Linked DNA regions of Tribolium castaneum. The protein of the gene in region 2 interacts with the protein of the main gene of each other region in a biochemical or structural test. Links are inferred from orthologs where the notes say so. Each region holds a gene or a part of one and is shown on either strand. Other genes may lie near its edges.

Region 1 (6,330 bases), on a different chromosome or scaffold from region 2:
AAAATAACAGCAAATCCGTCATAACTTAATAGTTTCCTCAATAATCTTTTTATAATTACGTCTGAAAATTCTGATAAAACGATCGAAAAAGCAAAAATTTTAATACAAAATGACTAAAATATAGGACAAATCAATTTCACTTTTAAAGGGAATTTCATAGTTTAGAATTAAGCTTGGAAAAGATGTATCGGGTGATTCAAAAATATGTGGCATAATTTTAACCACGAACACCCCTCTACAATTAAGAATAGATAGGATAGTATTTACTGATCCACACAAAAAATAGGAAAATTACAATTTTTCAGAAATTGGTATGGGAAATGGTTTTTTGAAAACATTTTTGTTACCGTTCATGCGATTATTATGAAATTTTGTATGCCAAGAGACACAAAGACGCTCTTTGATATGGTGTAAATGGAAATCTTGTAAAAGCTATACATTTCCGGTGACAAGGGGGCCCTTCCAGTTTTTAGGTGATAACTCAATTTTTCGGCCTATAAACACGTATTTTTGATATCAAAAATCAAAAGCCCAATTATTTTTTAATAAAAAAGGTACTCTTGCTTCATGTCGTCAAACTGTACCGTTCTCTAGTTATTTGGGATTAAACTAAACTCTACACTGCACTGCAGAATAGAAAAGTATAAATTTTGAGCGTACTATTACCTTGGAAACAGTTCACTACGAGTGATACAGCTGTCAATGCTGTCACATTTGATGTCAATTTCATTTAATCCAAAGTAAATTTTGATTATTTCTTGATGATAATAGTAAAAGACATGATTATGTGTTGGAAGAAATAAACTCCAAATTGCTGGTTTTATCAATACTTCACTACTTGCATTATAAAACTATAATCCAAATGAAGAATTAAAACGATCAGAGACCAAAACACAACCTCAACTGTAACAAATCACAAAATAAAATCTTATCAACTATTTGTAATGCCATTGTTGCAATTTTTCTTTAATAGGAAGTTAATTTGATCCACAAAAGAATAATGCACGGCTTAATGTTTATTTACATTTTTGAAAATTACAAGAGCTTCGACAACAATGAGCACAAAAGCAACAAATGCCGCCAGCGTGCTAATTGGCGCCAGTGCTATTTTTCATAAGCGCGAATATCAAAGAAAATATGAATGATGAAGTCAATGTTCTTTTTTTAAACAACAATAACCTGGATCATTTTTTTAACTAGATTTACCAGTATGGGCTGATCAGGGCATCATTTCCAAATACTAAAAGAATTTTTTTATCGTTATGACTTCATGATTTGTTTTTCGCGCTTACGAAAAATACCACAGGCGCCAGCTAGCGCGCTAGCGGCATTTGTTGCTTTCATGCTTATTGTTGTTGAAGTTCTTGTAATTTTTAAAAATGTAAATAAACGTTAAACCGTGCGTTATTCTTTGCAGGTTTCAACAACCTGTGGATTAAATTAACTTACTATTAAAGAAAAATTGCAATAGTGGCATTACAAATAGTTGATAAGATTTTATTTTGTGATTTGTTACAGTTGAGGTTGTGTTTTGGTCTCTGATTGTTTTAATCCTTTATTTGGGTTATAGATAGTTTTATAATGCAAGTATTGAAATATTGATAAAAACAGCGATTTGGAGGGATAATCGTTTTCTGGTGGTGTGGCATCAGATCAAGTTGTGATGCCGGGACGGCTACCGCTAGCTCATAGATTATTTCTTCCAACACATAATCGTGTCTTTAACTATTATCATCAAGAAATAATCAAACTTTACTTTAGATTAAATGAAATTGACATCAAATGTGACAGCAATGACAGCTGTGTCATTCTTAGTAGACAGTTTCCAAGGTAATGGTACGCTCAAAATTTATACTTTTTTATTCTGCACTGCGGTATAGAGTTTAGTTTAATCCCAAATAACTCGAGAACGGTACATTTTGGCGATATGAAGCAAGAGTTCCTTTTTTATTAAAAAATAATTGAGCTTTTGATTTTTGATATCAAAAATACGTGTTTATAGGCCGAAAAATTGAGTTACCACCTAAAAACTGGAAGGGCCCCCTTGTCACCGAAAATGTATAGCTTTTACAAGATTTCCATTTACACCATATCATAGAGCGTCTTTGTGTCTCTTGGCATACAAAATTTCATAATAATCGCATGAACGGTAACAAAAATGTTTTCAAAAAACCATTTCCCATACCAATTTCTGAAAAATTGTAATTTTCCTATTTTTTGTGTGGGTCAGTAAATACTATCCTATCTATTCTTAATTTTAGAGGGGTATTCGTGGTTAAAATTATGCCACATATTTTTGAATCACCCGATATTTTTGACAAGATTTTGATTTAACAACTGGTCACAAAGGCTCAAAAAGATAACAAATCGTGTCGTTTTCGGCATAATTTAGTATTCTTTGTTCCCACCAAACAACAACTTGGAAATAATAGGATTGAACTTTCAGTCAAAAAATAGCATTGTTTTCTATTGGCGCTTAAAAATGTGCGTAATACCCGAAAGGGGGGTAAATAACATTCTTTTAGTCAAAAAAACTGCCTTTTTAGTGCTTAAACGGGTATAAAAATAACATCCAACATAATTTGGTAGTCTTTCCGGCTTATTTTTGAATTGCGTTCATGGCTGGAAAATGCTTGAAAAAGATTTTCTGGCTCTGTTTTGCGAAATCTGACTAAACTAAACCTCTAAATAAAAATAAAAAACAATGCAGTTTAGTGATAAGATCTTATTAGTTTATCGAACTTAAAATTAAAATTGCAAGAATTTGCCAAATTCTTACCTTGCCATTAGATTGCAGAATTGTAGTTCTGGTCCTCCACTGTCTCTCACGACTGATAATGTCTTTGGTCAAGTCCACATCCAAGTCAAGAATAGCCCGAATGTCGTACTCTTGCCCTATATCATCATTGCCTTTAATTGTGGTTCGTTTCTTTGCCAAACGCTTGGCTTTAATCGCTGCAATTTTTTCCACAGACATGGCTTCAGACAATGATCTAGAAATCGTCAGTTAAAAATTGTTTCTCATTTGTAGAAAGCAAGTAAATTACTTGATATTATCAACAGTGACTGAAGCCTCTTTAGGGGCATCGAGTCGGGCGGCCAACTTCTCCCTAACTTTTTGCACATGCAAGTCCTCAAACCGGGGCTTTTTTGCAATACTTTCAGGCCCTTCATAGTCAGCAGATCTTTTGACCTACAAAGAAATAATTGTACATAAAAAGCCGCGTTTTCACACAAAAAACAAACCTGTGTGGGTATTTCAAGAGGAGCACTTTTATCAATCGCAGGACAACTCGCCGTTTCGCCATTTAGATAAGCCAAGAGTTCCTTTCTGTCAGGTCTTCTCACTACTGGTATATTCTCAGCAGCGGCTTGTCGCACATATACAGGATGAGTCAGTGATACATTTTTCAAAATAAACAACAAACATTCCAACGTGTAGTATTCCTTAGGGGTTCCGTCTTTGCCAGAACTAGAAATTTTTCATTGCATTTTGAGGTTAGCTTGTCAACAGATGGAAGGGTGGGTTGCGGAGGCGGCTTGGAACGGTACTTACCCCCACATTAAATAATTGGTTTTCACATTTTTCGGCCAGGAAAATTCCCCGAATATTATCTGGCCTTCGCGTTCGATTATTTCTTTTTTATTCACATTATATTGGCGAAGCAAACTCAAAGGGTCCGCCATTTTTGTTTACTGCACTACTTTTGAGCCCAATGCTGCCACCAGTCGACACCTGAAAAACTTTATCCCAAGCTGCTGTTTTATTAGTTGCATACATTTATTAAAATAAATCGAACATTGAAATACTGAAAAATGGCTTATTCGTATGAAATTAGCATTTAATAAAACCATGTGGGTGTGAAGTACGAAGGACTATAACATAAAAGACGGAACAACACAAAAAATTGCAGGATTTTCTGAAATCAAAAAAATAGTACGGCGGAGAAAAAATGAGGGCGCTTCGAGCGTTATGCCCACTGGGCATCAAATCGTTTTAAATTAATTTAATAAATCTAACCAATTTACTAAATACAGACTGATCTAGAAATACTGAGTTTGTTAGCAACAGATTTGAAAGTATTTATGCTTGTACTTTGCAAAATTGTAACCGAATTCGATTTTTTTGACAATTATTTGACGTACAGCCCCATAAGAACATTACATTGTTGTTAACAGGAAGCGTAGTCCATTGGTATCCTTAAAAATTTAAGTTCAGTGTTGCCAACAGACTCAGTATTTCTGGATCAGTCTGTACTTGGAAAAACATGCATAAATGTTAAGTTTTGTCTTCTTAACACACTGAAAAAAAAATGACGACAAAAATTTTCATAAGAAACTTGAAAAAAAAAATTTTTAATTTAAAATCTATCTGCGCTTTATCCCGTATTTTTCAAGACGCTACGAATATGGACACAGTTATAAGAAAAATGTTACAAAAAAATTTGTAGAGAATTAAATTTTCTTTAAAAAGAGTCCGCGAGACCATATCTTTATCAACGGTTTAGACCCTAAAGACGTTCAAAGATGCTGACGACGAATTCGTTTTATTTTACCGGTGTTCAAGTAACAGACAGTTAATTTTTAACTAAACTACAAAAGGAACTTTGTTCTTTACATCTTTTTTTGTATCTTCAACCGTATTTCCAGCGTTTTGATGAAGTTGAAAACATTAGTTGCATATTTATAGAAATTCAGAAATAACCCACTATTGACTCACCCTGTTGACTCTGCATAGGTAATTGAAAAAAGTGAAAAAGTGGCTCACTACATAAAACTTATTAAAACATTAAAGCAAAACTGTTACTTCCATAAAATCTGGGTAATTATTAACAAATTATTAATTAAAATTTAAAAAAATAGATGTCTTAACATAAGATAACTATAAAGTAAAATATTTATCCAAAAAGCATTTATTCAATATGAAGTTTTGTTTCTAAATATACAAAAAAGTAAACAATTAGGTATTAACAACACTATACTTTAGACTTTAAAAATTATAGAATTTACATTACATCACATTACGAAGACAAAATTGTTGAATGTTAGTTTATCTAATTTTAAGATGCCACAAAATAAATTAACATTTTTTTTTTAATTTTTTTTATTGTAATTCCTAAAATCCCTAAAATTAAAGAGATTGAAAATCGTTTAAAATTTATTTTATTATAATAATAATCTCTAAAATAGTCTTCATTTTTGTTAATAAATACCTAATTATGAATTAAAAAAGCAAATCGAAATCAGGAAAACATCTTATTCTCCGTATTCATTTTGTATTTATTTTATTTTGACTTTATTCCAATTTTTTATTTTTTTAATGGTAATTAACATACATATTTCTAGTGTATTTAATAATAGGTACATTTTTTTATTGCTTCATCTTTCTGATAAAATTACTTAGTACAATAAAAAGTAAAACCTACCTCAGAATAACGGACACCTCTTTAGAACGGACATTTTGTAGGAACGTATCAAAACTATTGCAAAATAATTTAAAAAAAAACTGGCTGCAACGGACCCTCTGTATAGCGGACGTGGACGTGGATAAACAAAAAATTGTTTATTTTTTTCAATGTTTTAGTTTTAATTTCAAAAGTTTTTTTGTTAAAACACATATATATCTAACAATAACAAAAAATTTAAGATCAAAACGTTGACTGTTATAAATCTTATACAGTTATCAACATGATCAAAAAATTGAAAGAATTAAATTCACTTAAAGCTATACAAAACTTATTTAACCTATTTAATATACATACTTAAGTTATACAAGAAATCTGCTTCTAGTAAAATATTTTCTGTAAAATATACTTTTGCTGCTGATTTAAATTTGATTAGATATGTTTGGTAGATTAAATGATGCTCTTTTTGAATTATGTGGTTACTTTGTCTCATTCCTGTCACAGTTACAGCCATTTGATTTTTATTAAAAAAAGAATATATATTTATTTACATTAACATTGTCCACTTCTTATTAGTAGACACCTCTCCACAACAGACAATTAAAGATTCCCCATCGGTGTCCATTGCTGAGAGGTTTTACTGTACTATGTATTTTTACGTCTCAAATTACATATTGGCTGTTTCAAAAGTACTCGTATGTAAAGACCAACGTCGCATTTTTCCAAATATTTTTTAATAAGGAAGATAAAAATGTAAAATAGTTATTAATGATTAGATCTTTCATTGAAACTATAAATTACATTAACTGTTAATTTGTTGAACCACTAACTTTAAGAGAAAGTGCTATATTTTTCTATAATTCGTATAAGTTAAACTAAAATTTATTAAATAATAAATCACTGCAAGAACATTTAATATTTATAT
Region 2 (6,451 bases):
TAGCTTACAATAAAACAATGCAAGTAGCGACTATTTTTTGTCTTTGGGTCTGGCCTTCCTCCATCCAAATGGCCAAAACACTTATTTCAGTTTAATCCGCTCGTTTTTTATTCCTGCTTACAAAGTATTAAAACACCTACACCCGAATAAGTGGATCACAGTGCAGCTTTCTGTCCTGCACACATAAGAGGATGTGTTTTTGCATCCACCTTATAAGTCAATTAGACGTGGCGACCTCTTCTTCCAAGATTTTTTTCCTTTGGTGCCTGAAGGAACTATTCAGTTCACATAATTTTTCAATGTCATCATCAAGGCACGCGATGACAATGTGAAGCAACCTCACACAAGGCTTTTCGTTGCAGTGAATAAAAATACTTAGAAAAGTTGATGCGGAAATTCGTCGATTTTACAAGTCTGTGTATTCGAATATGAGTCCCATACTAAGTAAATTTCATTCGGAAAAAATAAAACGAGGACAGAATTATTGCGACCTTCCAAGGAACCATAAGGTGTAGGTGGCAGCGTTGGTTGGAGGAGAGTATCAAATTTGTTTTAGTGAAATTATAATAAGATGAGCCTTGAAAGAAAAACACCTGCACTAAATTAGTTCAAGTTTATTTAAATAGTCATAAAACGTTATTTATTCAGTTTTTTACGTGCAATTACTCTACGAGTGTTAATAAACAAATGATTCACCCATTTATGTTAAAATTCCACAACTTTGAAATAAAAAAAAACTACAAAGACAAATTCCTTAAATAGAAACGCGAGCTGTTATTATTACGTTAAATCAGTGTGTAGCTATGTAAAGGGTGATTCAGTAATATAATTCCTATTTTTTGAATGATTCTTTTGGGAAGGTTTTTAACTGTAATTTGTTCAATGCATACCAACTGTCTGATTCACAAGATAAAGCACCCAAAAATGGTCGTGGAATTTACTATACACCCTTTCACGCATTGTAATATTTTTCAAGACTTTACTATTGACAATAGTTATGTTTAAATCTTGTTAGTATGAGTATGTTAATAAATAAACGTAAAACCATGACCTTGAGAAGTAAATTAATTTGTAAAAACACCTCATTATTCGTACATATTTCAACACTTTGTGAAAAGTTCCATCTTGAAACAGTAAAGACTTTCCTGTAGTGAAAACAAAATGAAAACACTTGATACTCAAATCTAAATTTCTAATTTTTTTTTAATTTCATTTTACTTTTTACTATTGGTTTTAATCATTAATCTCGAAAATAATTTTCTACCATATTTTTATTAAAGGTATTTCTTCATTAGAAGTATTTTGGCATAAGATTATAAAAAAATTCCTAGAGACCTACCAATTTGTGTATTTGATTGAAATTAGGAAAAAATATTTTAGCAAACAAGCTGAATTTTAATTAGATCATTAAAAAAAACATTCCATGATTGAGTTGAATAAGATGATGCTTTGTACGTCAATACATAAATTAAAACTAAAAATACATTATAATTATTGTTATGAAGCCAATAAATAAGTTAATAAAGTAACAATTTCAAATCGTGTATACGATATTTTACACCGAGAAACCTTTCTAATATTAATTTTGTTGCGTTAGTCACTGAAAATTTGTCCTTAATTAAACTGTTTTGTACAGCTTGCTGTTTCGTATATTTAATTAGTAGTCTACCATCAAAGAATTTGATTTAAAAAAGGTATTACATAATTTTTGTTTTTCCATAAAACTGTACAATGTAAAATTATTACAAAAACTAGTTGTCAAGGTAAAATACCAGATAATCTGCATTAAATTAAAAGCGGTCTATGGATTTATTGATTCCTTATGAAGTAATAATTTAATGATTTTTATAATGTGAAATAATTTACAGTTTGAGAAAGTTTGTAATAAATACGGTTACAAGTAAAATTATGAATCAATTACATTTATGATAAATACAACCTACGCGACTTTTCGAAAAAGGAATCGAGAAATACACGTGCCTAAAACTCATTAAATATTGGCACGTAGGTGAATTCTGTCAAATTGGAAATTAAATTATAGTGTTTTATGCTTACAAACACAATTTGCATACATGTTATCACGGCTTTCAACCCTCCTATGCAAAAAAATCTCGAATACATTTTGTATATTAATTAATTGTCACTTCCTTCCTTTTCCGAGGCGGACATTAGCGATCGAATAATTTATAGCAATATTAAAGTGTGACTAAGAGGCTCATTCTTAAGAAGTATGTGCAGTAACAGGATATGAAGAATGATTGTTTCAACGTCCTAAAGCAGAAAAAGACGTGACGTTCGACATATACAATATGTGAGATGGTAGAGATTAGTATTCCATGCAGGTGATAGGATCACACATTGCATTGACAATATTACGCGGTCTCATGAAGGTCTACTTAATCATTAATTATGCCAACATAATAGTATCGCACTGATACATATCAAAGAAAAATAGAAAACAGAGCGTCATCAATGGTGTGAGAAAAATATTCAGGCTACTTTTATTTTCTGTTGCAATCTTGTGACACTTGCACCTTGATAGCTTTCTCGAAAGCGAACACAAAGACAAGAATAAATGCGTTAAAAAAACAGCAATTCGGCTGATTTTATTCATGATATTGATAAATAGATGTTTTATTAATCCTCTAAGCTAAAATTTGTGACAATAATCCGCAAGATTATTATTTGTAAATTTCTAAAAAAAAATGCGAAAAAAGCCTTCGTTTTGCAACTAGTTGTATAAATAGCTATAATCGGTTTGTAATTTTACTGGAATTTTAAATCGTTGTTTACGACCGTCTAGAAGAATAAATCTTTATGTATGTTGGAAAATTGCGCAGATAAGGAAAACTATTGCGAATGTTTGCACTACAGAATATATGCAAAATTTTCTGGTGGCAGTTGTGTTGCATAACTTGTAACAAAAACCATTAATTGGATGGCTCAATTATGTAATTATTATGCAAAAATAAGGTTTACAATAGGACTCACCTCTCAGTTGTGGGGTCGGCACAGCTCAGGGGATACTTAAGTTCGATAATTTCCCCATTTTTCTCCCTAAGTTGCCCCTGATTTTCCATATAATACTGCACCAACTCTGAGAGAGTTGCAAATTTCTCGCCGCCATACAGGTCATAAAAGTCTCCAGAATTTTGGATTTTAATGTGGGTAACCTCTCCATTTCTCCTGCCAAAACGTGAAACAAGGGGGCACAAAAGTGGAAAGGCATCACTTACTTGACTGATAACGTGAACGATCCGGGATTATTTGAACTAGGTCTTGCCAAGAAACTGCAATCAACTCCTCTTTCCATTAAAACTCTTTCAGCCTCTATCCCACTGATTGTGGGCCAAAACCATCTGCAATGAAACCGTTTTTATCAACGAAAGGCATCCTACCCTGTAGGCCTTGAAAAATCTTTATTCAACAATAAAAAAAAATAAACAAATTCCCACTGTTGCTGTGTAAATAAGACTTTTTGACAGCTCGCACTTATTACTCCAACAAAGAAATTTTACTTGTGGGATATTGGCGAGGCAACTTCGTGGGTCCTGTCTAACATTCGGGATAATTAAGCGCTTACCTTCGGGAACTCATACTTTTGGTTGGACTTTTGTTACAAAATCTATGAATATAAAATAAACCTCTTGCAAAAACTATCTCCTACGTGAGCCACCATCTTGAATCTACAAGGGACGGTCAAAAACTCTAACCAATTTCTATATACCAGGTGACCCAAAACTCGAACTGAACTCAAAGAAACAGTAATTATTTTATTAATTTACGGTTTTTCTTCTTATGTGAATTAAGTAACAATCTTGTGCATTTACTATCTACGATGATTTTGTAAACCAGGAAATGCACTATTACAACACTTTATCATTATCTATGTTATTGATAACAGGATGCATTCACTAATTATTAATAAATTAGCAAAAACAGTATGTTACTCAAACCATTTCACACACTTCCGTACTTTTCAGATAATAAAAAAAGTAACTTATAGAGTTTATTGTTTATCCATTGCTTCTATCTACACAAAACCTAAACAAGAAGCTGTTTTACAGTTTTTCACACATTCTATATTTTAAATCATGGATTATATTAAAATAATGTACATAACTACACCGTTTCTGGTAAAAACAGTACCAAAACTCTATCTACATCAAGAATTTAAGCTCGTATGGTTGGAGCTGTGTCCGGTGATCCCTCTGCTAGAAGACTTGCCTGCTCTACAAGCTGCTTCTGCTTTAATTCGGGCTTCTCTTTAACAAAGTATCGATAGCCCCTCATAGCCAGTACCGAAGTGGCGTAAATTGTTACCGCTATGCACGTACAAACAAAACCTTTGTGGAGCCTCTCAACAAAAACGCTATTTCTCGGCTTTTTTTGCATTTTGGCTGCTTTCAAATTTGTGTTTTAATTTTCATCTGACAGGACATAACCTTACATATTATAGTAAGTTTAATTTTGTGAAGTTTGCCAGCTGTCATTACTAATCAACAGTATCGGCTTCAAAAATTTGTGTGCCCAGTTAAAATTAATTTTTACAGCATTGGAGAAGTTTATTTCAAAAAAATTATACACAACCTATCAAATATAGCAAGTTGCTATTCACAGTAATAACGACACAGCAGTTAAAATACTTTCAAAATAAATTTTGACAAGTCGGGTTAAAATAAACAGTAACGTACGCGGATAAAATAAATTGTTCCAGCTATTTGTCCAAGATGCTTTCTACAGCCATTTTAAGTAGTTTTGCCTCGGTGATAAACTTTGAGGAGGGGTTTGTGGTCATAAAAAGTTGTAATTGTTTCAGCAAATCTTTCAAAACTTTGGGAATAAACTGTCTCGTGTGGGGGTATCCCGGGATTAGAGCAACCAAAGCAGCCCTTATGTAACTAAAATTACAAACATTCATACCGTGTAATTAAAAATAACAGGTATATTTATCTAATCACCTCAATTTGATTTCGGTATTTTTGTGTAATTCCATACTCAACTGTTGTATCAGAGCTAAAATACAGTTCTGAGGCGGTGGAGAAGACCCATGGAAGAGAATATTACTATCCACCTTCTCACAGACGTAAATCACATAATTCAAATTTTCCGCCGACAGCGCCAACTGGAATGCTTCATCGTAACTTTCTTTAGCCAGTAGATGATCAAGATGTGCCAAAGTAACCTACAATTTAAATTGGTACAACTCTGCTAAACATTACATCATCGACCTGCGTTACACACAATAGACGTAACAAAAAGGGGGAAGTAAATATCCTACAAACCAAAATAAACTTTATTTAATCTATTCAAATACAATTAACAAAAAATAGAATTCCTTTTCATAATTTTTTGAAAAAAAAACCTAATACCGTCTACCTTTTGATGAAAAATACGGATATTTAAAACATACTTGTGATTCAACATGTGGTGAAGGGGTCACAGCTCGAGACCGCACCGCGTTGATTACACTGTCTTCCAGAAATGAAGCGTGACTCTTAAAACCTAACTTAATTTGTTCGCTAATTAAATCCTTCATACTCTGTAATAAATTCTCTTGCGTACTACAAATGAAAATTGCCACATACAACATTTTCTCTCTCTTAACACAACTTACTGCTTCATGGATGTATTGAACTGTTTGTGAATTTCAGACGACAAAGTTCCGACTAACTTATCCGTGTTCATTTGCAAATTTTCCGAAACTGATTGCATTTGAACGATCAGATCCTTACCTCTCTCTTGAACCCGTCGTTGCCTTTCCATATAATGCTCAACAGAAGCGGTATCTAAAATAGTGTTTTAAAATACAAGCCGTGTAATAGCAAGTGGGGAAACAGTAACAGACCATCGCTTGAATGATAAAACTGTTTTTTTTTTTTAATTTTTGCAGTCGTTTTCTTGTCGAATAGCATTGTTAAATGTGCAAAATAGAAATCAACTCGGAAAAATTATAAACTACACTTACATTCCTTAGTGCCCTGTGTGAAAGTTTCGTTAATTTGGTGGAACATATTTCCACAGACTTTCTCCCAAGACGGGACCAAAGTCGACGTGATCATATCCCGGTAGCATTTTTCTAAAATAGGCGTTATCACATTGGCCACTGATAAACTGAGCGACTCCGCTAGTGCCTTAAAAAATCAAAATAACAACAGAATATCAGAACATTATTCAATGAGCTTATAACACTGACTACTATTCACCAATATAAAGTTTACAAAACGAGCCAAAGCCGAGTGAATATTAGCCCTTATAAGCGAGAATACGATACTTTGTCCACTGACTGTGAGATACTACTTTCAATTTTTGGTTTGATAATTTAATTAATAAAAATATCACAGTATAGTTTAACAATGAATAACATTATTCGCAAATAAAGTTATAAAATAGAAGGAAATTTGAATGTAGCATGAAGTTCACATTTTATATTAAGAGTGTGGGCAAAGGT

What was found.
Region 1: of the proteins of csw (region 2) and hyx, one has a biochemical effect on the other in vitro, tested with the Homo sapiens proteins (2 studies listed by BioGRID and IntAct). The link is inferred for Tribolium castaneum from reciprocal best matches to the Homo sapiens genes PTPN11 and CDC73.

What each region holds. Positions count from the first base shown.
Region 1 is NC_087400.1:8,949,361-8,955,690, forward strand, and holds the start of hyx (parafibromin), read right to left. Parts: upstream 3,729-6,330; 5' UTR 3,688-3,728; coding exon 3,557-3,687; intron 3,473-3,556; coding exon 3,247-3,472; intron 3,194-3,246; coding exon 3,048-3,193; intron 2,994-3,047; coding exon 2,780-2,993; intron 1-2,779.
Region 2 is NC_087398.1:136,667-143,117, forward strand, and holds the start of csw (tyrosine-protein phosphatase non-receptor type 11), read right to left. Parts: upstream 3,816-6,451; 5' UTR 3,598-3,815; coding exon 3,584-3,597; intron 3,360-3,583; coding exon 3,237-3,359; intron 3,187-3,236; coding exon 2,992-3,186; intron 1-2,991. Other genes in the region: Ge-1 (enhancer of mRNA-decapping protein 4), read right to left, coding at 4,718-4,901, 4,962-5,185, 5,414-5,564, 5,618-5,789, 5,969-6,134. UniProt on the Homo sapiens protein: Acts downstream of various receptor and cytoplasmic protein tyrosine kinases to participate in the signal transduction from the cell surface to the nucleus. Positively regulates MAPK signal transduction pathway. Dephosphorylates GAB1, ARHGAP35 and EGFR.